Callithrix jacchus: one gene and its partners. The protein of the gene in region 1 purifies or fractionates together with the protein of each later gene. This does not show direct contact. Links are inferred from orthologs where the notes say so. Each region holds a gene or a part of one and is shown on either strand. Other genes may lie near its edges. The genes, in order: CDC25A, CCNB1 and SKP1.

Evidence for each region.
Region 2: the proteins of CDC25A (region 1) and CCNB1 purify together in Homo sapiens (affinity purification with mass spectrometry; 3 studies listed by BioGRID, with this or other methods). This does not show direct contact. The link is inferred for Callithrix jacchus from reciprocal best matches to the Homo sapiens genes CDC25A and CCNB1.
Region 3: the proteins of CDC25A (region 1) and SKP1 purify together in Homo sapiens (affinity purification with western blotting; 6 studies listed by BioGRID and IntAct, with this or other methods). This does not show direct contact. The link is inferred for Callithrix jacchus from reciprocal best matches to the Homo sapiens genes CDC25A and SKP1.

Annotation. Positions count from the first base shown.
Region 1 is NC_133516.1:30,840,630-30,848,791, reverse strand, and holds the end of CDC25A (M-phase inducer phosphatase 1), read left to right. Parts: intron 1-3,128; coding exon 3,129-3,240; intron 3,241-3,497; coding exon 3,498-3,638; 3' UTR 3,639-5,351; downstream 5,352-8,162. UniProt on the Homo sapiens protein: Tyrosine protein phosphatase which functions as a dosage-dependent inducer of mitotic progression. Directly dephosphorylates CDK1 and stimulates its kinase activity. Also dephosphorylates CDK2 in complex with cyclin-E, in vitro.
Region 2 is NC_133503.1:140,367,199-140,375,592, forward strand, and holds the end of CCNB1 (G2/mitotic-specific cyclin-B1), read right to left. Parts: intron 7,141-8,394; coding exon 6,958-7,140; intron 3,849-6,957; coding exon 3,690-3,848; intron 3,489-3,689; coding exon 3,252-3,488; intron 2,975-3,251; coding exon 2,834-2,974; intron 2,568-2,833; exon of another isoform or gene 2,464-2,567; intron 1,787-2,463; coding exon 1,676-1,786; intron 1,510-1,675; coding exon 1,408-1,509; coding exon of another isoform or gene 1,402-1,407; exon of another isoform or gene 1,335-1,401; intron 995-1,334; coding exon 989-994; 3' UTR 859-988; downstream 1-858. UniProt on the Homo sapiens protein: Essential for the control of the cell cycle at the G2/M (mitosis) transition.
Region 3 is NC_133503.1:74,170,399-74,178,792, reverse strand, and holds part of SKP1 (S-phase kinase-associated protein 1), read right to left. Parts: intron 3,067-8,394; coding exon 2,923-3,066; intron 210-2,922; coding exon 69-209; intron 1-68. UniProt on the Homo sapiens protein: Essential component of the SCF (SKP1-CUL1-F-box protein) ubiquitin ligase complex, which mediates the ubiquitination of proteins involved in cell cycle progression, signal transduction and transcription.

The DNA of each region.
Region 1 (8,162 bases):
AACTTTGGCTCTTCTAATTTACCCCACTGTCCTTAGTGTGTATGTGTGCGCGCCCACGTGTATTGTGTCTTTTGCTTGTTTTTGTTTGTTTGTTTGAGACGGAGTTTCACTCTTACTGCCCAGGCTAGAGTGCAATGGTGTGATCTCAGCTCACTGCAACCTCTGCCTCCTGGGTTCAAGCAATTCTCCTGCCTCAGCCTCCTGAGTAGCTGAGATTACCAGCTACCACCACCACAACGCCTGGTTAATTTTTTTGTTTTTAGTAGAGACGAGGTTTCACTATGTTGGTCAGGTTGGTCGTCTCGAACTCCCGACCTCATGTGATCTGCCTACCTCAGCCTCCCAAAGTGCTGGGATTACAGGTGTGAGCCACTGCACCCAGGCTGGAATGATTGGCATGATCTTGGCTCACTGCTCCTGCCTCAGCCTCCTGAGTAGCTGGGATTACAGGTTTGCACCACCATGCCTGGCCAATTTTTGTATTTTTAGTAGAGATAAGGTTTCACATGTTAGCCAGGCTGGTCTCGAACTCCTGACTTCAGGTGATCTGCCCACCTTGGCCTCCCAAAAGGCATGAACCACCGCACCTGGTAGAAATTTCAAATTTTGAGATAGGATCTTAATATTTTGACCAGGTTGGTCTCAAACTCCTGGCCTCAAGCTCTCCTCCTCAGCCTCCCAAAGTGCTAGGACTGAAGGTGTGAGCCACTGCACCCACCCTTTTGAACCATTTTAAAACTCAAAAAGAGGTGAGGTTATGGCTGGGCACAGTGGCACCAACACTTTGGGAGGCTGAGGCAGAGGGATCATTTGCTCAGGAGTTTCAGACCAGCCTGGGTAATACAGCAAGACCCCATCTCTGCAAAAAATAGGAGGTGGGAGGATTGCTTGAGCCTGGCAAGTTGAGGCTACACTGAGCCGGGATCATGTCACTGTACTCCAGCCTGGTTGACAGAGTGAGATTCTGTCTCTCTCTCTCTCTGTCTCTCTCTCTCTCTCTCTCTCTCACACACACACACACACACATACACACACACACAGGTTATACTTGTATACACTTCACCTGATTTTATTAATATTTGTCACATTGGCATGTACATGCTCTACACACAGTCAACTACATTAGAACTTGACACTTGTAACTGTCATAAGTCCTTCAAGCATCTGTCTCTGAAGGATGAGTGCTTTGCCCTGTAAGTTACGACATGCATAGGTAATATTTGAGCAAGAATTTAGTGGTCATTCATAAAAGCAATTATTCACTCAGCAGATTGATTGGTTTGTTTGTTTTGGTTTTTTGTTTTTGAGATGCAGTCTTGCTTTTTCACCCAGACTGTAATGCAGTGGTGCGATCTTGGCTCACTGCAACCTCTGCCTCCCAGGTTCAAGCAATTCTCCTGCCTCAGGTTCCCAAGTAGCTGGGACTACAGGCGCATGTTACCATGCCCAGCTAATTTTTGTGTTTTTAGTAGAGACGAGGTTTCGCCATGTTGACCAAGCTGGTCTCGAACTCCTGACCTCAAGTGATCTACCCACCTCGGCCTCTCAGAGGAAAGATTTGGGATTGACAGGCAAACTCATTTTAACTACAGGCAAATGCTTCCAGCTACGTGCTGCTGAGGAAGCTGCTGCCCATTCTTCATGACTGGAGCAGTTACCATAGGCCCCAAACCACTGAGCTTCAAGAGAAATCAGATATTCTTGCCTCTCATGTACCAAATACTTTTCTAGATACTGAGGGAGAAAAGCAGTGAACAAAACAGACCAAAAAATCCCTGCTTTCGTGGGACTTACATTTCAGAGTACATAGGCGTTCAAGACCAGCCTGGCCAAGGTACTGAAACCCCATCTCTACTAAAAATACAAAAATTGGCTGGGCACAGTGGCTCATGCCTGTAATCCTAGCACTTCAGCAGGCCGAGAGGGGGGTGGATCACCTGAGGTCAGGAGTTCAAGACCAGCCTGGCCATCATGGTGAAACCCCATCTTAAAAAAAAAATAAATAAATACAAAAATGAACCAGGCATGGTGGCAGACACCTGTAATCCCAACTATGCTGGAGGCTGAGGCAGGAGCATCTGTTGAACTCGGAGGGTGGAGGGTGGAGGTTGCAATTAGCTGAGATCATGCACCACCGCGCTCCAGCCTGGAGGACAGAATGAGACTGTATCCAAAAAAAAAATAGTGACTGGGCACAGTGGCTCATGCCTGTAATCCCAGCATTTTGGGAACCCAAAGTGGGTTACCTGAGGTCAGGGGTTCGAGACCAGCCTGGCCAACATAGTGAAACGTTGTCTCTACTAAAGAATTAGCTGGGTGTGGTGGTGGGCACCTGTAATCCCAGCTATTAAGGAAGCTGAGGCAGGAGAATCGCTTGAACCCAGGAGGTGGAGGGTGCAATGAGCTTAGACAGCACCACTGCACTCCAGCCTGTCAACAGAATGAGACTGTCTCAAAAAAAAAGAGTTCTTCAGAGGGAAATAAGGTGGGAGCTCCCAGGCAGGCCAGAGGGACAGTAGTGGGCCGCAGGGGCTGGTGTGGGATGAACGAGGGGCAGAGCAGCAGTGGGAGTGATGAGCTGTAGGCCTCTGAAGGACTCGAGGCCTTGGACTTTTATACCAAGGGCAAGACAGTAAGCATCCATCAGACAGATAAGGATATCAAAGAACATTCAGTCAAGGTAGAGGATAGAAACAGATGCCCTGAAGCAGGAGCAAGTTCAGCCTCTTTAAAAGCCACGGAAAGAAACAATCCCACTTAGGTAGAAAAAGGTGAGTGAGGGAGCCTGGCTGAAGGGAAGGCTGGGGTGGAGAATGCAAGAGGAAGCTGGCTTAGATGGTGAAACTGTTGCCACAAACTGGCAGTGAAGGTGCTGGGCAGGACTTGGATGCTAGTGCTGTTGGAGAAAGGAAAGTTGGGGAAGAGGCCATCTACTGGCACTGGCTATGAATGCTGCTCACATGGCCAGGAACTTGCAAATCAGCACTGATGGTTCCTAAGAATAAATGTAAAGTTGCAAAGATGCGTAAGGGGGACCTAAACCACAACTGCTGCTTTGACTGCGTTGCTGCGGTGTTGCTCTGGGTCAAAGGAGGTAACCCTGCTTTGGCCTTCCTTCCCCTGACTAGGTGCCGGTATGTCAGAGAAAGAGATCGCCTGGGTAATGAATACCCCAAACTCCACTACCCTGAGCTGTATGTCCTGAAGGGGGGATACAAGGAGTTCTTCATGAAATGTCAGGTAAGACTGGGGCTGTGGAGAGCATCCCTTTTCCCCACCCCTAATGGTAGACCAATGAGCCTGTCTGGTGATGATGACTTTCTTGCCAGGGGTCTGGGGACAAGGTAGGTATCTGCTGAGCACAAAGAAGGCCTCTATAGAACTGGTTGCCCAGATCTGCCTGGCTGCTCCCAGCCTTGTAGCCTTAGGCAGAGAGGAAACCAGGTTGTGGTTATGACGCAGGTGTGCCCTAACCTCGTTCTCTCCTGTCCCCTCAGTCTTACTGTGAGCCCCCCAGCTATCGGCCCATGCACCATGAGGACTTTAAAGAAGACCTGAAGAAGTTCCGCACCAAGAGCCGGACCTGGGCAGGAGAGAAGAGCAAAAGGGAGATGTACAGTCGTCTGAAGAAGCTGTGAGGGTGGCAGGGCCACCCAGCAGCAGCCCGAGCTTCCCTCCATCCCCCTTTGCTATAGAGGAACTCGAGCAAAGGGACCAACTGTGTGACATTTGGAGAGGGGACCTGGGACTTCCACGCCTTAAACCTACCTCCCACACTCCCATGGTTGGAGCCCAGGGCATCCTGCTGGCTACGCCTCTTCTCTCCCTGTTAGATGTCCTCTGTCCATATCAGACTGTGCCACAACGTACTGTGTCAAGCTGCTCTGAGCCACAGTGGGATGAAGCAGCCAAGGCCATATTGGGCTCCAGCCTTCTCATGAGGGGAAAGGAGACGGGAGTAGAGAAGTTACACAGACAGAAATGCTGCTGGCCAAATAGCAAAGACAACCGGGGAAGAAAAGGTCTTTGGGATAATCTGTATCTTTAATTTATTCAACTTCATCAATCACTTTATTTTATCTTACTCCTGGAGACTAATCTGACTGCTTCATTAGGTTGGAATACTGCCATTCTAGGTAGGGTTTTATTACCCCAGGACCTACCTTGGCTTTTAATTTTTTTTTTTTTTTTTTAAAGAAGGGGGTAAGAAAATGCAAACCTGTTGTAAGTTATGGGACAGAGAGCTAAGTGCTCTGTCACCCCAGGAGGTGCTGCGGTACTGGGGCTGCTGCTATTTAAACCAAGAACTGAGGTCCTGGTGAGAGGGAGCGCTGGACCCAGACTTGGCTGCCTGACATAAGCTAAACCTCCCAGACCCACGGCTGGCCACTGAGATTTATTTGGTGGGAGGTGTGGCCCTGCTATTCCACACTCCAGTTCCCTGTGACATTGGCTGGTATAGGAGCTGTAGTCAGGAAAGCACTTGAGGCAGCTTCCATCAGGCCACCCCCTGGTCAGTGCTGGAATGTTGCAGTGTAGGTTTCCCAGGGAAGGGGGGTAGGGAGGAGGGCTCCACAGGATATGGGAAGAACATGTCCACTGAGTGTCTTCCTTATTTTGCTGTGATACTGTTTGATAGCTTTTAATTTTTAAAAAATGGTCATATTATGAGTCAAGGAGTATCAAATCAGTGTTGGATGCGCCACCCAAGGGTGGGGAGTGGGTGCTGGCATGGACATGACTGGATAGGATTTTCTCAGGAGGGAGCTTGGTGGATTTTGAAGGTAAAACTTTCTGGGTTTATCATGTTTTAATTTGAGGGACAGAGAGTGATGAATCATCACCAGTTGCCCCCTTATCTAACCCCATAGAAGTGGGTATTTCAAAAGAACACTTCATCCAAGGAGCTGGGGCTGACTTCATTGATTCTAGAGAGGCCTGTTTCAGTGCCTACTCATCCCTGCCCTCTGGTGCCAGCCTCCTTACCATCACAGCTTCATTGAGGTATAGACAGGTTTTTCTTATAACAGGAGACCTTCTCTCCCTCTTACCTCAACTTCCTATTCTGGGGTTGGGAGAATCAGTGATACTGGAGATGACTAGTTGGTGTGTTAATAGGTTTGAGTTGTATTTGGCCATAAAACAACCTTGTTGGGAAAAGTATGGGGGAGAGGACTTCTTCCCACACACGCGTTAAGACAGATCCCAACTGGTTAATGATCTTGTTGTAAGAAAAAGATTGTTGGTTGAGTGCTTAAAGAGAAAGGTGGGATGGCCTTCAGATTATACCAGCTTAGCTGGCATTGCTAACCAACTATTGCAAGCTCTGAAAATAAAAGATCTTGAACCCATGCTCTCTGCTTAGTTCTTGATAGATTTAAAAAGAATTACATTTCCCTTTAAGGTCCTCGGACCACACTTAACTAAAACTAGTGTTTGGGATAGCTACATTTCTTCAGGAAGCCAAAGGGCTCTCAGATGGCCTGGGTCCAAGGATGACTAGAACAACCCTCAGTTATTACTCTGAGTCCAAAAACTTGTGGTTCAGATAGATTTGCAAGATAAATGGGCATGTTAAAAATGTGCCAACCGCAGAGGCTCCTACCTGTTATCCCAGCACTTTGGGAGGTCAAGACAGGCAGATCACTTGAGGCCAGGAGGTTGAGGCTGCATTGTCTGCACACAACCAGTGATGCTGGGGGCTACCGGGGACAAAATATATAGGGCTGAAGCACAGAGGGGCACCCAGAATGGAAAATGTGTTCCTTTATGTGTGTGTTGGGAAATGGGGTTCAGGCATATTTGATATTTTTTTGAGGCAGTCTCACTGTCACTCAGGCTGGAGTGCAATGGTGTGATCTTGGCTCACTCTAGCCTCTACTTTCCAGACTCAAGCAATCCTCCTACCTCAGCCTCCCAAAGTGCTGTGATTACAGACATGAGCCACCATGCTTTTTTAAGATTTTTTTTTTTTTTTTTTTTTTTTGAGACGGAGTTTCGCTCTTGTTACCCAGACTGGGGTGCAATGGCACAATCTCGGCTCACCGCAACCTCCGCCTCCTGGGTTCAGGCAATTCTCCTGCCTCAGCCTCCCGAGTAGCTGGGATTACAGGCACATGCCACCATGCCCAGCTAATTTTTTGTATTTTTAGTAGAGACGGGGTTTCACCTTGTTGACCAGGATGGTCTCGATCTCTTGACCTTGTGATCCACCCGCCTTGGCCTCCCAAAGTGCTGGGATTACAGGCTTGAGCCCCCGTGCCCGGCCGCTTTTTTAAGTTTACTTTGAACAGGTATATTTTCCTGGATTGTTGCAAAAGTGAGCTGGCTTCCTGTCTGACCTACCCTTGCCACAATCAACTTTCTAAAATTGCAAATTAAGTCAACCCATTCTTGAGAAATTAAAGGTTTTTTGTTGCCTTTAAATGAAAACTTCAACTCTTTAGTTCGTATGCTAAGATATACCCTCAGCCTTAGCCCCTGCTTGTTTTATGCTCCAGTAACAGGTCAGGATTCTGTTTCTAAAATGCCCCCAGCTCTGAAACTTGATTGTTACAGCTGGAAGCCTGCCATGCGGAAAGTTTGCATTTACTAGAGGAAAATTTATGTGTGGACACCTATTAGGTCAAGCGTTGGTTAGCTCAAAACCATGGGCAAAATTTATTTAAATTTTTTGGGATAACTATTCTAAGGTGTGATCTGATTCAAATAAAAAATTTTTAAGTATGACAGATGCATAAAAAAAATTCACTCCTATTTCATACACCAGCTTAAGAACAAACAGCTTGGCTGAAGCCCCTTGCCTACCCTGACTTGATCATAAACTCTTCACCCAACCCCTGTAGGGTAACCATTATCCTTCCCTGCCATTATGATTATTTCCTAAGCAAGAAGATAATTTCATTTTTTAAAATTTTTTTCATATTTTAAAGCTTTACAAATTGTGCACCTATAATTGCATCTACTGGGAGGCTGAGGCAGGAGGATTGCTTGAGCCCAGGAGTTCAAAACCTGCCTGGGAATATAGTTAACCCCATCTCTTAAAAACAATCTCTGTTATGTGCTGGTTCATCCGTGACTCACTTTGATTTTTATTTCTCTGCTTATCACACTTAAGGGCACTTGGCTCCAGGAAGGGCAAAGTATGAATCATCATTAGTGACTCAGGCTACATCTCTCCAGCAGAGGAACCTGGAGTAAGTCACTTCTCCCTCTGGGGACTTTCTTTGCAAAATAACAAATGCATTTGAACTAGATGTTCCCGCTAGGGGCAGTGGCTGACACCTGTAATTCCAGCACTTTGGGAGGCTAAGGTGGGCGGATTGTTTGAGCCCAGGACTTCTTGACCAGCCTGAGCAACATGCCAAAACCCCGTAGTTATTAAAAACACAAAAAAATTCAGCCAGGCGTGGTGGTGCATACCTGTGGTCCCAGCTACTTGGGAGGCTGAGGTGGGAGAATCACCTGAGCCCAGGTAAGTTGAAGTTACAGTGAGCCAAGATTGTGTCACTGCACTCCAGCGTGAGTGACAGAAGTGAGACCCTGTCTTAAAAAATTTTTTAAAACTAGATAACTAAATGTTCTCTGTGACTGCCCCTGAACCAACATACCATGGCTCTAACATTTGGATGACCCCTTTGCATACCCCAATACTCACTTCAGATCTACTTGGAAGAAGGACCTCCTTGGTCCTTCTTCCAATGAGGAAAAGCTGTTTCTCTCATTCAATATGTTTGACTTGTGCTGAGCACTGAGGATAAGGACCTTTGTAAGATGCAGGCATTGTCTCAAGGCACTCACTGGCTAGTGGGAGAAATAGTCACTAAAAGATAATGAAGTCTTAGGTGTAACATTTCCATATAACAGAAGCTAGGATAGAGAGAGGTCCAGAGGAAATGGGGCTCCAGAGCAAGAAGTGATCCCAGAGGAGGTGATATTCAACCCTAACCTTCAGCAGGAGTCTCATGAGACAGTGTTCCAGGAAAAAGAAACTGTTCAAAGAGGAAATACCATGCATTCATACCTGTGGACGAGGTAGGAGAAGTCTGGCGGGGGAAACCCTGAATGCCGTTCTGAGTCTGTAAGCCTCGGGATCTATGATAGCAAGACTTCTCAAACACGTGGGAAATTTGTTAAAATGCAGATTCTGATTCCACAGCTCT
Region 2 (8,394 bases), on another chromosome or scaffold:
GTTTGTTTTAGGGAACCAAGAATACATAAAAACATGGTACAAAACAACATATAAACAAAATTGTAGGGGCAAAGAGAAAAAGGCAGTCTGAATGAACAGGGGAAATGGTTGAATACATTAGTCATGTGTTGCTTAATGATTGGGCTATGGTTTGAGGAATGTCATTAGGTGACTAATTGTTCAAACATCAGAGTGGACTCACACAAATCTAGATAGCATACCCCTACTACACTCCTAGGCTACAGACTTATACACCATTGTTATTGAATACTACAGGCAATTGTAACACAAGTCAGTATTTCTGTATTTAAACACAGAAAAGGTATAGTAAAAATATGGTATAATAATCTTATGGGACCACCATTGTATATGTAGTCTATGTTTGACCAACATGTTCATGGGGCACATGACTATTTATCTGTACTATGTAATATAATGCACAAATACAGGTAGGCTTATGTGAGGAAAATAATTGTTATGAATATAGGATGAACCACATTTTGAATGAACCACATTTTAAATAAACCCATAAAAATTCATATGCACATCTATATTTATACAAGACATGGAAGGATAAATCCATAATTGCTGATGTCCTTCAAATGGGTGGGATTTGGAAAGAGGATAAGGGTCAAATTAACTTTTTAAAAAAGATACCTTTTGTATTTGAGTATTGTTTTATTTTCTTAATCAAAACACAAAAACAAAATGAAAACTGGGCTTAGAATATAAGTTCTCATTTTTCAAAGTGAAAGTTTGAAAAGACACTAGCTAAGGTTGATAACTTAAATAGTGGTAAAAGTAATTAGCTTAGAATGATGGGAGCAATCACCAGAAAAAACAGAAAACAGGGGACTAGGGATGAGGTGGTAGACTTTTACTTTAAAAACAGAGCTGCCGGGCTCACACCTGTAATCCCAGCACTTTGGGAAGCGGGCGGATCATGAGGTCAGGAGCTCAAGACCAGCCAGGCCAACATGGTGAAACCTCATCTCTACAAAAAAATACAGAAAAAACATTAGCTGGGCATGGTGGCAGGGACTTGGCTTACATGCAGTATGTCCTATGGAAGTAAAGTTTTCAAATACCTCCATCACCTTCTGTAACTCATATTAATAAAGTAAAAGCCAGGTACATAAAACAAGAACCAAGTATATAAACATATTGGGTCCCCAGATAAACCAAAAGCAGTTTTTAAAAATATTCCCCACCATACCTTTTAAAACAACTTTTCCATTACCCTACAGTAGGAAGTAACCACATTCAAATGAGCTAGGCTATAAAAAAGTAAAAGGGGCTACAAGCTTTATTAAAAGTAAGTAAATGCAATAGTAGTATGTACAGATGGCACATGGTGCCAATTTTATTTGTAAATATAGTACTCCAACTCAAGTTTACAAGTTACACCTTTGCCACAGCCTTGGCTAAATCTTGAACTAGTGCAGAATTCAGCTGTGCTAGAGTGCTGATCTTAGCATGTTTCGACGTAGCATACTTGTTCTTGATAGTCTGGAAGACAAAAGCATTAAAGAGGGGGAAAAAAAGTCACAAGATCCAATGATACAGGTATTCATTTAAAATACTGACTCATTCAAAATAAACCAGGCATTTGCAGGCATGATGTTTGCATTCTTTTCACTTTTCAACATCTTACACTGCCACTAGATTGACTCACCATGTGCTTTGTAAGCCCTTGATTTACCATGACTATATTCTTAGCCAGGTGCTGCATAACTGGAAGAAGGGATTCTTCAGTGTATGACAGGTAATGCTGTAGAGTTGGTGTCTAAGACAACAAAAGTTAATGTTAAAAATGCTCAATCAGTAATGATTTTCATAAAATTTCTAGATGTTAGATGTTATGCAGGAGTGGGGAAGGGATGAGTACTGCATAACTAATTATTAATATAATTGAAATTTAAGACAAAGCCTAAGACTCTTTAATAGGTGCTCTCATGCTTCCATAGGAACCTGTGCTCACACCTAATTTCATTATTGTAATTGCTGACTTGCCCCCTGCTAAAACTAGACTCCACTTCCTTGAGGCCAACTTTGTCATAGTTCCATTCCTAAGATAGGAGAAGCATTTGTTGAATGAATGAATGAATATGAACTACTAGTATGTTATTTGAGCTTCAAGTTTCTCCATCTGTAAGAAGTTATTGTACCTTTATCAAAGGGAATAAAGTTGAAATTAGGCAAAGAAATGGAAACACTTGGCTGGTTGCAATGGCTCATGCCTATAATTCCACCACTTTGGGAGGTGGAGGTGGGCAGATCACTTGAGCCCAGCCCAAGACCAGCCTAGGTAAGATAGGAGACCTTGTCTCTACAAAAATTACAAAGCTCAGCCTCCAGGGTAGCTGGGACTATAGGCATGTGCCTGTGTGTATATATATATATATGTTTTTAAATATTTTTTGTAAAGATGAGGATTTGCTATGTTGCCCAGGCTGGTGGGCGACACTTTTGTAGTTCATAAGTGTGATGATTGGGTGTTCACGTGAACGTGTAAAATATGCTACCCTCAAACCTTGTTACAATGTGGGCATATTACCCATCTGACATGAAAAAAATTAAAACTAGCTAGGGGAGGGTGAGGTTGCAGTGGGCCAGCATCGCACCACTGCACTCCAGCCTGTGTGACAGAACAAGACCTTGTCTTAAAAACAAAAAGAAGTAGAAACATTCTAAGACATCTTTTTAAACTACTCCTTCAGTAGATCCCATATTTATGAACCACTTGAAGTGGATTTTAGTAACAAAAGTCCTGTATTCAGTCAAATACTCTTTACAATTTAAAAGTTTAGGAGTTTTGTGGGACAGAGCTTACCCATTCACCATCATCCAGAATTTTCAGTGCTAAGCAAAAAGCTCCTGCTGCAATTTGAGAAGGAGGAAAGTGCACCATATCATAGTCCAACATAGTTAGTTCCATCAGGTATTTGGCCAAAGTATGTTGGTCAACATCAGCCTGAAACAAAACCCATCACTGAGCTTCTTTCAGAAAAGTTTCCTTTGGAAAGGATACCCATATGTATCTTTAACTACAAATGTTTGTCTACAAACTCAAATGCAAGTGCCCATGGAAATCCCTAATATTAACATGCAGCCCAACTAGAAATAAAGAACATCTTTATCCCTTCCCCATGTAGTTAGGTATAATACAACTTAATTGAATTCGACTTGCTTGGTCAGCAGCAGTGTTCCCTAATGTACCCATACCAAAAGGTTTCTCAAGAAACCTTTACCTCTCCAATCTTAGATGCTCTCCGAAGGAAGTGCAAAGGTAGAGGCCGACCCAGACCAAAGTTTAAAGCTCTTAGAATCTTCATTTCCATCTGTCTGATCTGGTGCTTAGTGTAAGTGTTGTCAGTCACAAAAGCAAAGTCACCAATTTCTGGAGGGTACATTTCTTCATATTTGCTGGCAATAAACATGGCAGTGACACCAACCAGTTGCAGCATCTTCTTGGGCACACAATTATTCTGCAATGGGAATTTTAACAGGATGAATAAAATACGTGAAAAGGAGACACAGAGCTATGATGGAGAAGAGGTAGACAGACAGTCATTCTTCCATAGCAAAATCTTAATAACATCAAATCCTCCAAGAAAGATCTTAGCTGAAAGTCATTTTCTTATGACAGCTAGAATCCCAACAGGGAAAACTTTTACTGAAATGCTCACCTGCATGAACCGATCAATAATGGAGACAGTCATGTACATGGTCTCCTGCAACAACCTGAATTTCATCTGGACCTGTACTAGCCAGTCAATTAGGATGGCTCTCATGTTTCCAGTGACTTCCCGACCCAGTAGGTATTTCGGTCTGACTGCTTGCTCTTCCTGTAAAAGAAAATGCTGATTATTCTTAGAAACATGATTCCATGTAATATATTAAAGATCAGTTACTTCCTACAGTAGCACTGGGGCATTTAGAATATCAGTTTTTTTTTTTTTTAAGATGAAGTTTTACTCTTGTTGCTCAGGCTGGAGTGCAATGGTGCGATCTTGGCTCACTGCAACTTTCACCTCCCAGGTTCAAGCAATTCTCCTGCCTCAGCCTCCTGAGTGCATGTGCCACCATGCCTGGCTAATGCTTTTTTTTTGGAGTTTTAGTAGAGACAGGGTTCTACCATGTTGGCTAGGCTGGTTTCAAACTCCTGGCCTCAGGTGATCCACCTGCCTCAGCCTCCCAAAGTGCTGAGATTACAGGTGTGAGCCAACGCGCCCAGCCTATGTAAGTTCTTAATTCAGTTATTCATAGAGTCACCACAAACACCATCACCAAGAAAGAAAGCAAACATTAAGGCCAGCATGGTGGCTTATACCTGTAATCTCAGCACTTTGGGAGGCTGAAGTGGGCAGATTGCTTGAGGCCAGAAGTTTGAGACCAGCCTGGCCAACATGGCAAAACCCTATCTCTTCTAAAAATACAAAAATTAGCTGGGCATGGTTGCTCGCGCCTGTAGTCCCAGCTACTCAGGAGGCTGAGGCATGAGAATCGCTTGAACCCAGGAGGTGGAAGCTACAGGGAGCTGAGATTGCACCACTGTACTCCAGCCTGGGTGACAGAGCAAGACTGCCTCCAAAACCACAAAAAACAAACAAACAAAAAAAGACATTAGATAGGACAGTGTGACAGCTTTTTTATATTGTCAGGTCTTACAATATTCAATTCACCACAGCTGCTGCTGGCCCACTTCCTTCCAAATAAAGATACTATACTGTCATCTCAGATCTTTTCACTTAGGCCTTTAAACCTAGAGCCTGAGCTTTATGTAGAGAAAATATCAGTACCTCCCAGAGAAGCTGGAACCCATGTACTACAATATTTCTGCCTGCTCCAGGGCTAAACCCCAACAGCAACATAGCTAAGAACTGTGGGGACAAGAGTGACTTTATTTTAAATGCTAATTCCATGTGACTTCTGCCTGTTCACTAAGTTTGGCCTTTCCTCCAAAACAGCCCTTGATACTATCATATACATTATAGGCTGTGATGTCAGCAGCATTCCCATAGCCACTCACACATTCCTTCTAGAGCATGTATACTTTCCCCAAGAAAACGTATACATACCCAAGCCCTGGGTATGAGGAGTTACAGTGCAGAGATCTACATCTTTCAGCCACACGAGACCATACTTCTGTCTGTAAATTTCTCCTAATCAGTCACCCAATACCAACAAACTCCATTTATCTGCCTTATTCCTTGGTTTCTAGGCTCCTTTGACATTTGGGGGGAGTTGCTCTGCATATATGGCCTTTCACAGAACAAGAATGAAGCATCGAGAAACAGCACATTTACTAAATTTAATCCTCCAAAGTTAGAACACAACTTTAAAAAGTACAAGACGTGAGAAGAAACCCAAAGTAGAAGGCTGCTCCTGAAAGAACTCTTCTTGCAGAAGAATCCTATAGAAAAAGAAGAGGCCCAAAAGGAGGGCTGGGAGCAGTGGCTCATGCCTGTAATCCCAGCACTTTGGGAGGCCAAGGTGGTTGGATCACCTGAGGTCGGGAGTTTGAGACCACCCTGACCAACATGGAGAAATCCCATTTCTACTAAAAATACAAAATTAGAGGGGTGTGGTGGTGCATGCCAGTAATCCCAGCTACTTGGGAGGCTGACACAGGAGAATTGCTTGAACCCAGGTGGCAGAGGTTGCAGTGAGCAGAGATCACACCACTGCACTCCAGCCTGGGGAGGAATAGTGAAGCTCTGTCTCAAACAAAGAACCTACAAAAAATGGAGAGGCTCAAAAGGAGCAGGAAAGAGATGAATATGTCAATGATGACATAAGACAATGCATAAAAACAACTGCGGGCTGGGTATGGTGGCTCATGCCTGTAATCCCAGCACTTTGGGAGGCTAAGGTGGGTGGGGCGGGGAGGATATCACCTGAGGTCAGGAGTTTGAGTCCAGCCTGGCCAACATAGTGAAACCCTATCTCTACTAAAAATACAAAAATTAGCCGGGTGTTGTGGTGGGCACCTGTAATCCCAGCTGCTCGGGAGGCTGAAGCATGAGAATCACTTGACCTAGGAGGCGGAGGTTGCAGTAAGCTGAAATTGTGCCACTGCACTCCAGCCTGGGCAACAGAGCAAAGAGCAAGACCCTGTCTCAAAAAAAAAAAAAAAAAAATCAAAACCAAAACCTAAAAAACAAGTAAAAATACAAAAAGTTAGCCAGGCATGGTGGCATGTGCCTGCAATCCCAACTACTCGGGAGGCTGAGGCAAAGAATTGCTTGAACCCAAGAGGTAAAGCTTGCCCTCTATCCAGGGCGACAGAGTGAATAAAACAAAAAAACAAACAAACTGGGTAAATATGGTATAGCTTATGCTAGTATGTTTATGCTGCCATATAGAATGCTTGTGTTTGTGGGGAAAGGGCAAATGCCATTAACAGAAAGTTTCAAAAGTGGGATCAAATTGAAATGAACCAAAAACTAGCTTTTGAGCGTACTGAACCAAAAACTCCTTTAGGGCACAAATAATTTCACCAACAATTGGATGCACATCAGCCACACTAACACAAAATGCCTTGTGTTAGGGGTGGCTACAGTCTTTCAGTATAGTCTACATCCTCATCCACTTCCTGACCCATTCATTATTGCCTAAAATGCAGAGTTTGGGACTTAACCATTCAAACTGCAAAGGAGATGGCATAGTTACATATCAAATTCAATCTGTGGACTTTCCTTTAGGAAGATCAATAGTAGTATCCATGCTAACTTTGAACTTGACAACACAGAGTGGCAAACAGACTTCGTCGTAGGTTTAGTGACTTTTTATTTTAGGTATTCCAAGAGGGAGAATTTGAAAGTGCAATCTACTCTTAAGAAATGCTGCCCACATCCTGCTTGAATTATTATAAACTATTGATAGAAAATACTTTCATAAAGTTAGAAGCAGTTTAGAAAAAGAAAAAAAACAACAACAAATGATAATACTGACCTCAAGTTGTCTCAGATAAGCATAAATATCTTTCACATATTCACTACAAAGGTTTGGATCCACTCCATCTTCTGCATCCACATCATTTACTGCAAGAATTACATCAGAGAAAGCCTGACATAGGTCTTCTTCTGCAGGGGCACATCCAGATGTTTCCATTGGGCTTAGAGAGGGAGTGTCAACCTTGAAACAAAGAGATCTCTTGAAACAATAGCAAATAGGAGTAAGCACTATAGTTAAGGTCAGTTTATTGGTTTCAACTTTAGATAGTATTCTGCTGAAATGACATACAAATTATTTCCTGAAAGGAAAGTATCTTTTCAGATTTATTCCATTTCTTTTTAGAAAGTGAGTAACATCAAAAGAGATCATTTGGGTTGGGTGCAGTGGCTCACATCTTTAATCCCAGCACTTTGAGAAGCTGAGGTTGAGGCTAGGAGTTCAAGACCAGCCTGGGCAATATAGCAAGACCCTGTCTCTGTCAAAAAAAAAAAAAAAAAAAAGTCTTCATTTAATTGCTCAAATAAAAAGAATGAGGTCGGGTATAGTGGCTCAAGCCTGTAATCCCAGTAATTTTGGTGGCTGAGGTGGGAGGATACTTTGAGACCAGAGTTCCAGACTAGCCTGGGCCACATTGCAAGAACTCATCTCTACAACAAAATGTTTAAATTATATGGGCATCAGGGTGAAGGCAGTTGCCTGTAGTCCTAGCTACTCAGGAGGCCAAAGCAGGAGATCACTTGAGCCCAGGAGTTTGAGGATACAGCGAGCTATGACTACACCACTCTACTCCAGCCTGGGCAAAAAAAAAAAAAGAGTGAAATGCCAACTTAAAGTCAGTTTAAAGTTGGAAGCCAATGAATTCACATCTAGACTTCCCTCCAAAGGAAACTGAGAATTAATTAATCTTTATGAGCAAAATGTGAAGTTAATCCAAATAAATGATAATTCAGTCTTTAGTCTTTATTTCAAAATATAAACTGCTTCTCACTACTCAAAAGAACACAAATTCTGTCCTGACTAGTAAAGATTAACTAACTCCATCACCATTAACCATTTCCTTTGAACTCCCTTTATCCCACTGTTCAAAAATGTATTAAGCGCCTTCTTCAAGTCAAACTCTGCAAGGCATTGACTTCATTGCATCCTCAAGGGCTCTTAATTTAATAGACAAAGTTAAGTAAAGAAATAAGACTGGCTGGGCACAGTGGCTCATGGCTTCTCAAAGTGAGGGCGGATCATATGAGGTTGGGAGTTTGAGGCCAACCTGACCAACATGGAGAAACTCTGTCTCTACTAAAAATACAAAAATTAGCCGGGTGTGGTGGCACATGCCTGTAATCACAGCTACTTGGGAGGCTGAGGCAGGATAATTGCTTGAACCCGGGAGGTGGAAGTTGCAGTGAACCAAGATCACACCATTGTATTCCAGCCTGG
Region 3 (8,394 bases), on another chromosome or scaffold:
TGGTGTATTACAGGCTTTAGTCCCTTTTTAAGAGCATGCGATCAGAGACAAAACTGTGTGCCACCTACCTGGGCTTCCTCCTCTTCAGTAAAGTCATTTTTGATATTGAAGGTCTTGCGAATCTCCTCAGGAGTTTTCCCCTTGATCATATTGGCAACAGTCTTGCATGTAACATCAAGCAAACCTTTGATGTCTAAGTAGTTTGCAGCCTGTAAAGAGATAGTTGTTTTCCTTAAAGTATACTTGATGTTTTAAACTAAATCTAAAGTTAATGATTGAAACTCCATGTCTAATAAAGCTTAAAATGATAATTTTATTAAAGGGAGAAGAATAAATCACTCATAAGTTCCTCCATGAAAGACTTTTATGTGACCTTTGTTACATCTCTATGATGCTGAATCCTTCTGCTTCCTTAACCAAACTGTATTAGCTCAAATGTTAATGGCCACTACTGTTGTGTATGTGTGTACAGACACACATCAGATCTTGACAAATACCACATCAGATCTTGACAAAAATATTTGTCCACACTTAAAGAGTTCAATAAGCAGTTATAGCATTATATTTAGTGATCTGATTTTTAAAAACAGGTTTTGGTTTCACTGACTTTATTACCTATTTTCTATTTCACTGATTTCTGCCCTTATATATTCTAATTCTTCTGTTTGCTTTGTATTTAATTTCATCTTTTACTAGTTTCTTAAGGTGGAAGCTTAGATCACTGATTTGAAACTTTTCTTTTCTAATAATATAGGTATTTCATGCTATCAATTTCCCTCTAAGTATTTCTTTTGCTGCATCTCACAGATTTTTCATGTGTTTTATTTCTATTCAGCTCAAAATACAAATTCTTTTTATTTCTTCTTTGACTTACAGGTTATTTGCAAATGTGTTAGTTTTAAAGAAGCTGCAGATTTTTCCAGTTACCTTTCTGTTTGTGATTTCTAGTTCCATTGCAGAGAACATACTTTGTATGGCGTAAATCCTTTTATGATAGAGATTTTTCTTTTTGAGACACCGTCTCACTCTGTCACCCGGCTGGAGTTCAGTGGTGCAATCTCGGCTCACTGCAACGTCTGCCTCCCAGGTTCAAGCGATTCTCCTGCCTCAGTTTCCCAAGTAGCTGGAATTATAGGTGTGTGACACCACACCCAGCTAATTCAGGGGTTTCATCATATTGACCAGGCTGGTCTCAAACTGCTGGCCTCAAGTGATCCACATGCCTCGACCTCCCAAAGTATTGGGATTACAGGTGTGAGCCACTGTTCCAGGCTGAGACTTGTTTTATGGCCCAGAACACGGTCTATCTTGGTAATATACACTTGAAAAGGATATGTATTCTGCTATCGTTACATATAATGTTTTAGGCCAGGCACAGTGGCTCACACCTGTAATCCCAACACTTTGGGAGGCCAAGGCAGGTGGATAACCTGAAGTCAGGAGTTCGAGACCAACCTGACCAATGTGGTGAAAGCCCGTCTCTACTAAAAATACAAAAAATTAGCTGGGCATGGTGGCAGGTGGCTGTAATCTCAGCTATTCAGGAGGCTGAGGCAGGAGAATCACTTATCTCGGGAGGAGAGGTTGCAGTGAGCAGAGACTGCACCACTGCACTCCAGACTGGGTGATGAGTGAGACTGTCTCAAACAGATACATAATATATAGATATAGATAGATAAAATGTTTTATAAATGTCCATTAAGTTGGTCAATAGTGTTATATCAAGTTATCATGATTTCTGTCTACTTGTTATATTAATTGAGAGAGGTACTGAAAGCTCTATGACTGCAAATTTGTGGACTTCTTTGAGTTCTTCTGGGTTTTGTTTCACTTCTTGAAATTCTTCTAGGCAAATAAACATTTATGATTGTTATGTCTTCTTAAAAAATGGATCCCCTTAACGATACAAAATAATCCCCTTTAACCCTAGTAATATTCTTTGCCTCCACATCTATTTTAACATAGTCACTCCAGCTTTCTTTTGATTCATGTCAGTATAGTTTACCTTCTTTCATTCTTTAAACCTAGGTGTGTCTATTTCCTTAAAGTGGGTTTCTTACAGACAGCATAGCTAATCTTGCTTTTTTGATCTGTTAATTTCTGCCTTTTAACTGTGTTTAGACCATTTACATTTAGTGTGTTACTGATATGTGGATTTAAATATGGCATTACATTTTAATTCAGAGTATTAAAATTCAGTGTCAATGAAGTTAGCAAATTTTAAATCTGTAAGAAGTAATATTTAAAGGCTCTGGAATAGAGCTATTTTATATGTTAAAAAAAACTTACCAGATGCCAGGCATGGTGGCTCATGCCCATAATCCCAGCACTTTGGGAGGCTGAGGCAGGTGGATCACAAGGTCAAGAGATTGAGACCAGCCTGACCAACATGGTGAAACCCCATCTCTACTTAAAAATACAAAAATTAGCTAAGCACGGTGGCACACACCTGTAATCCCAGCTACTTGGGAGGTGGAGTGAACTGCTTAAACCTGGGAGGCAGAGTTTGCAGGGAGCCGAGAACACACCACTGCACTCTAGCCTGGGCGACAGAGCGAGACTCCGTCTCAAAAAAAAACAAGGCCGGGTGCGGTGGCTCACGCCTATAATCCCAGCACTTTGGAAGGCCGAGGTGGGTGGATCACAAGGTCAAGACATAGAGACATTCCTGGCCAACAAGGTGAAACCCCGTCTCTACTAAAAATACAAAAATTAGCTGGGCATGGTGGTGCATGCCTATAGTCCCAGCTACTACGGAGGCTGAGGCAGGAGAACTGCTTGAACCCAGGAGGTGGAGGTTGCGGTGAGCCCAGATCGTGCCATTGCACTCCGGTCTGGGTAACAAGAGCGAAACTCCGTCTCAAAAAAAATAATAATAAATAAATAAATAAAAATTTAAAAAATTAAAACAAAAAAACTTACCAGAATGAGTTCAAAAAGTGTTCCTTGGTCAACTTTCAGGAATTCTTGGTCCCAAACAGGAATATCATCTGTTCGCTTTTCTTTGTTCTCATCATCCTCAGGAGGAGGAGGGTCATCCTTGTGGTGGGTGCACCACTGAATGACCTACAACAACAAGTTGATTCTTCAGTGGCATTTTGTCAAAGGTACTCATTCCACTGCTGGGACAACTTATCTCTATGTTGGGATAATAACTAGCTAGAGGTTGACTTGAGCAATTAACAGCCAAGCTTGAAAAGCAAAAATGAAGCTTGAAGAATCTTTATAACCCTAGAAGGCAGAAGATCTTATTAGATAAAAGCAAGCCATGTAGACAGAGTACCATACTTGACCACATTAAAAAGCTTCTACGCAGCTGGGCGTGGTGGCTCACGCCTATAATCCCAGCACTTTGGGAGGCTGAGGCAGGCGAATCACAAGGTCATAGATGCGACCAGCCTGGCCAACATGGTAGAACCCGTCTCTACTAAAAAAATACAAAAAATTAGCTGGGCATGGTGGCCGGTGTAATTTCAGTTATTCAGAAGGCTGAGGCAGGAGAATCACTTGAACCCAGGAGGCAGAGGTTGCAGTGAGCCAAGACGGCACCACTGCATTCCATCTCAAAAAAAAAAACGTTTCTATGCAAAAAGAAAAGTTAGACAGGACAATGACTGGAGGATATCTCCAAAACGTAGAACAATGATTAGCCTAGAGAATATAAAATATTTTAAAAGTCACTATAGAGAAATGGGTTAAAGATATGTACAGGCAATAAATGAAAACTGAGTAGTCAAATGTAAGGAACACTCAACTTCTTAGAAGCAAAACTAACACTACAGATACTTCTCTAGAATGAAAAAAAATCAAGAAATTGATACTAATTGTTGGACAATAGTGGAAAGGAAACACGAACTCGAGTATAAATTGGTATAACCCATTTTATACTAATCCAGCACTCCTTAGTAAAGCTGAATATGTGCATATACTGTAACCAGGAAATTCCAAATACCCCAGACACATCTGTAAGACTATATGGTGCAACAACAAAACAGCAAAAGCCCCAAAGTTCCCTTAATAAGAGAATAATGACTTCATAAAGTTTCAGGAAGCTGATTACCTACATACCAACATAAAGACCAAAATCAATACTTAAAGTGTTTTAAGTTGTAGAATCTAGGCAGTGGCCGTATAGGTGTCCACTGTGTAATTCTTTCAATTTTTCTGTATGGTTAAAACGTTTTCATAGGAAAATGTTGGAGAAATAAACAATGCTGAGAGAAAATAGTAGAGCCAAGAAATTATATTGCCAGGATACAAAAAAACAAAAAAGAAAGAAATAACAGTTTCAATAAGGCAAAGCCAAGCAAGGGTTTTTTGTTCATTTGTTTTTGAGACAAGGCGTCACTCACTGTGTCACCCAGGCTGGAATGCAGTGCCGTAATCATGGCTCACTCGACCTCCTGTGCTTAAGCAATCCTCCCACCTCAACCTCCCGAGTAGCTGGGGCTACAGGTGCATGCCACCACACCTGGCTCATCTTTTTATTTTGTTTTTGTAGGGATAAGGTTTCATCATGTTGCTCAGGCTGGTTTCAAACTCCTAAACTCAATCAATTCACCCACCTTGCCCTCCCAAAGTGTTGAGATTACAGGTTATGAGCCACCATGCCTAACCAGCAAAGGGTTTTAATGAAACTTCTTAAGCAGTATTCCAATAATATAAAAGGAACAAATGGCAATTAATATTTGCTTATCTGGGCATTTTAAAAACTCTAAAGCTAGGCACAGTAATCCCAGAAATTTGGGAGGCTGAGGCAGGAGGACTGCTGAGTGCCAGAAGTTCAAAACTAGCCTAGGCAATGTAGCAAGACCCCACCTCTACAAAAAAATGATAATAATAATAATAAATAGGCTGATCGAGGAGGCTCACACCTGTAATCCTAGCACTTTGGGAGGGTAAGGTGGGAGAGATGCTTAAGCCCAGAAGTTCGAGACCAGCCTGGGTAACATGGTGAAACCGTCTCTTTAAAAAATACAAAAATGAGCCAGGGGCGGTGGCGTACATCTACGGTCCCAGGTACTCAGAAGGTTGAGAAAAAAGAATCACTTGAGCCCAGGAAGTTGAGGCTGAAGCAAACCATGATTGCGCCACTGCACTCTAGTCTGGGCAAGAGAGAAAGAGATTCTGTCTCAAAAAAAAAAAAAAAAAATTACTACCACTACTAATAAAAAAATAATAAAATTTAAAAATAAAAAACTCTTTAAAGGATATATAAGAAACTAATGCCTGCCTACGTTCACAACGGGTAGCGCCAGTAAAAAAGAAAAACAATAAAAAATGCCACATTACTTTCTGGGGGGAATAGTTTCCCATCAGATAAGAGACAACGATGGGAAATTTTACTGTACACTTTCAGTTTTGGCATCATGTAATTATTATTCAAAATACAATATACATTCAATGCAAACAGGCTTTAAAAAAAAAAAAAAACTTCTTAGCTAGGTGTGGTGGCTCACACCCATAATCCCAGCAATCTGGGAGGCCAAGGGAGACAGATCACTTGAGCCCAGGAGTTCCACACCAGCCTGGGCTACACAGTGAAACTCCACCTCTATAGAAAATACAAAAATTAGCCAGGTGTGGTGGCATGCGCCTGTAGTCCCAGCTACTCAGGAGGCTGGAGTGAGAGGATCACCTGAACCTGGGAGGTAGAGTTGCAATGATCCATGACTGCACCACTGCACTCCAGCCTAGGCAACAGAGTGAGACCCTATCTTAAAAACACAAAACAAAACAAAAAACCAAACACTTCTCATTCTCACAAGTGGCCCTAAATCACCCAGCCCCTTAACTCTGATTTTATCTACTTCCTTCTTGTTTGGTCACTGTGCTCTAGCTTCCACTAAAATCCTTGTCTTTCCTGAAATGGCAGGGCATGCTCTTGTCTTAAGGTCACTGCACTTGCTCCCAAATCCAAGAATCCTTCCCCCGCCACATATTCACATTTCTTTGTTTAAAGATCATCTTCTCAGTAAGGAATCTCCTATCTTTATTTTTAAAATAGCTTACTGTTCACCTACTCACCCTTTTATGTTCCCCGTTCCCTTCTTCATTCTCCATAGCTTTTCCATCTGATATATTTCTAATGTTGTATGTTTCCCCAACCCTTCAGATCATAAACTCCATAAGGATTTTGGGTTCACTGCTATACCCCCAGCTTTTGAATGGCATCTGAATGTACCTGGCATTTGAATGACTACAAGCAAAGATCCTTTTAGAACCATTTTTCATTAGTATAAAATAGAATGTTACTTGTAAGGCATATTCAGAAATCATAAAGAATGAGATCTGGCCAGGCTCGGTGGCTCATGCCTATAATCCCAGCACTTTGGGAGGCTGAGGCAGGTGGATCACAAGGTCAAGAGATCGAGACCATTCCTGGTCAACATGGTGAAACCGTCTCTTACTAAAAATACAAAAAAATTAGCTGGGCATGGTGGCGCACACCTGTAGTTCCAGCTACAAGGGAGGCTGAAGCAGGAGAATTGCTTGAACCCAGGAGGCGGAGGTTGTGGTGAGCCAAGATCGCGCCATTGCACAGCCTGGGTAACAGCAGCGAAACTCCGTCTCAAAAAAAAAAAAAAAAAAAAGAGATCTAACTAGATAAAATAAACCCTCTAAATCATAAAATAAATTAACTAAGATAAGCAAACTGGTAGAAACTTTTTAAAAGAGTTCTTATAAAAAGCCTATTAGAGTCAGGGCACGGTGACTCACACCTGTAATCCGAACACCTTGGGAGGCCGAGGCGGACAAATCATGAGGTTAGAAGTTCAAGACCAGCCTGACCAACATGGCAGAACCCTGTCTCTACTAAAAATACAAAAATTAGCCAGGTGTGGTGGCGCACGCATGTAATCCCAGCTACTCAGGAGGCTGAGGCAGGAGAATCCTTTGAACCCAGGAGGCGGAGTTGCAGTGAGATCGCACCACTGCACTACAGCCTGGGCAACAGAGTGACACTGTCTCCAAAAAAAAAAAAAAAAAAGCCTATTAAATAATACCACTGAATTGTCACTTCAAAATGGTTAAGATGGCCAGGCACAGTGGCTCACGCCTGTAATCCCAGCATTTTGGGAGGCCAAGGCAGGCAGATCACAAGGTCAAGAGATCCAGACCATCCTGGCCAACATGGTGAAATCCCAACTCTATAAAAAATACAAAAAATTGCTGGGCATGGTGGCACATGCCTGTAATCTCAGCTACTTGGGAGACTGAGGCAGGAGAACTGCTTGAACCCAGGAGGTGGAGGCTGCAGTGAACTGAGACTGTGCCACAGCACTTCAGCCTGGGCAACAGAGTGAGACTCTGTTCTCAAAAAAAAAAAAAAAAAAAAAAAAAATGGTTAAGATGATGGCTGGGCATGGTGGCTCACGCCTGTAATACTAGCACTTTGGGAGGCTGAGGTGGGCAGATCACCTGAGGTCAGGAGTTGGAGACCAGCCTGACCAGCATGGAGAAACCCAGTCTCTACTAAAAGTACAAAATTAGCTGGGTATGGTGGTGCACGCCTATAACCACAGCTACTCAGGAGGCTGAGGTAGGAGAATCACTTGAACCCAGGAGGTGGAGGTTTCGGTGAGCCAAGATCATGCCACTGCACTCCAGCCTGGGCAATAAGAGCAAAACTCCATCTCAAAAAAAAAAGAAGAGAAAATGGTTAAGATAGTAACTTTTGTTATGTATATTTGACCACAATTTTTTAAGCCCATTAGACAACATGGATGAACCTTGAAAACATTATGCTAAGTGAAATAAGCCAGATACAAAATGACTAATATTATATGATTCCATATATGATGTGCCCAGAATAGCTAAATTCAGACACCCAAAGTAGAATAATGATTATCTAGGGGACTTGGGGAAGGGAGTGTACAAAAATGCGGAGTTATGATACAGAGTTTCAGTTTGGGATGATAAAGTTCTGAAGATGGTTAGTGGTGACAGCGGCACAACACTTGTGAGTGTAATTAATGTCACTGAATGGTGCACTTTTAAAAACTGAAAATGATAAACGTCATATGTATTTTTACCACTTTTTAAGTCCATTAGGAAAACAGGAAAATGAAAACAGACAATGCAGAAAATGTAAATGGCCAGTAATACACGTAAAAACATTCACACTTTGGGAGATTGAAGCAGGCAGATTGCCTGAGGTCAGGTGTTCAAGACCAGCCTGGCCAACATGGTGCAACCCCATCTCTACAAAAATACAAAACTCAGCTGGGCATGGCAGCAGGCGCCTGTAATCCCAACTACTTGGGAGGCTGAGGCAAGAGAACTGCCTGAACCAGGAAGGCGGAGGTTGTAGTGACCTAATATCACACCACTGTGCTCCAGCCTGGGCAACAGAGTGAGACCCTGTCTCAAAAACAAAAACAAAAAAATTCA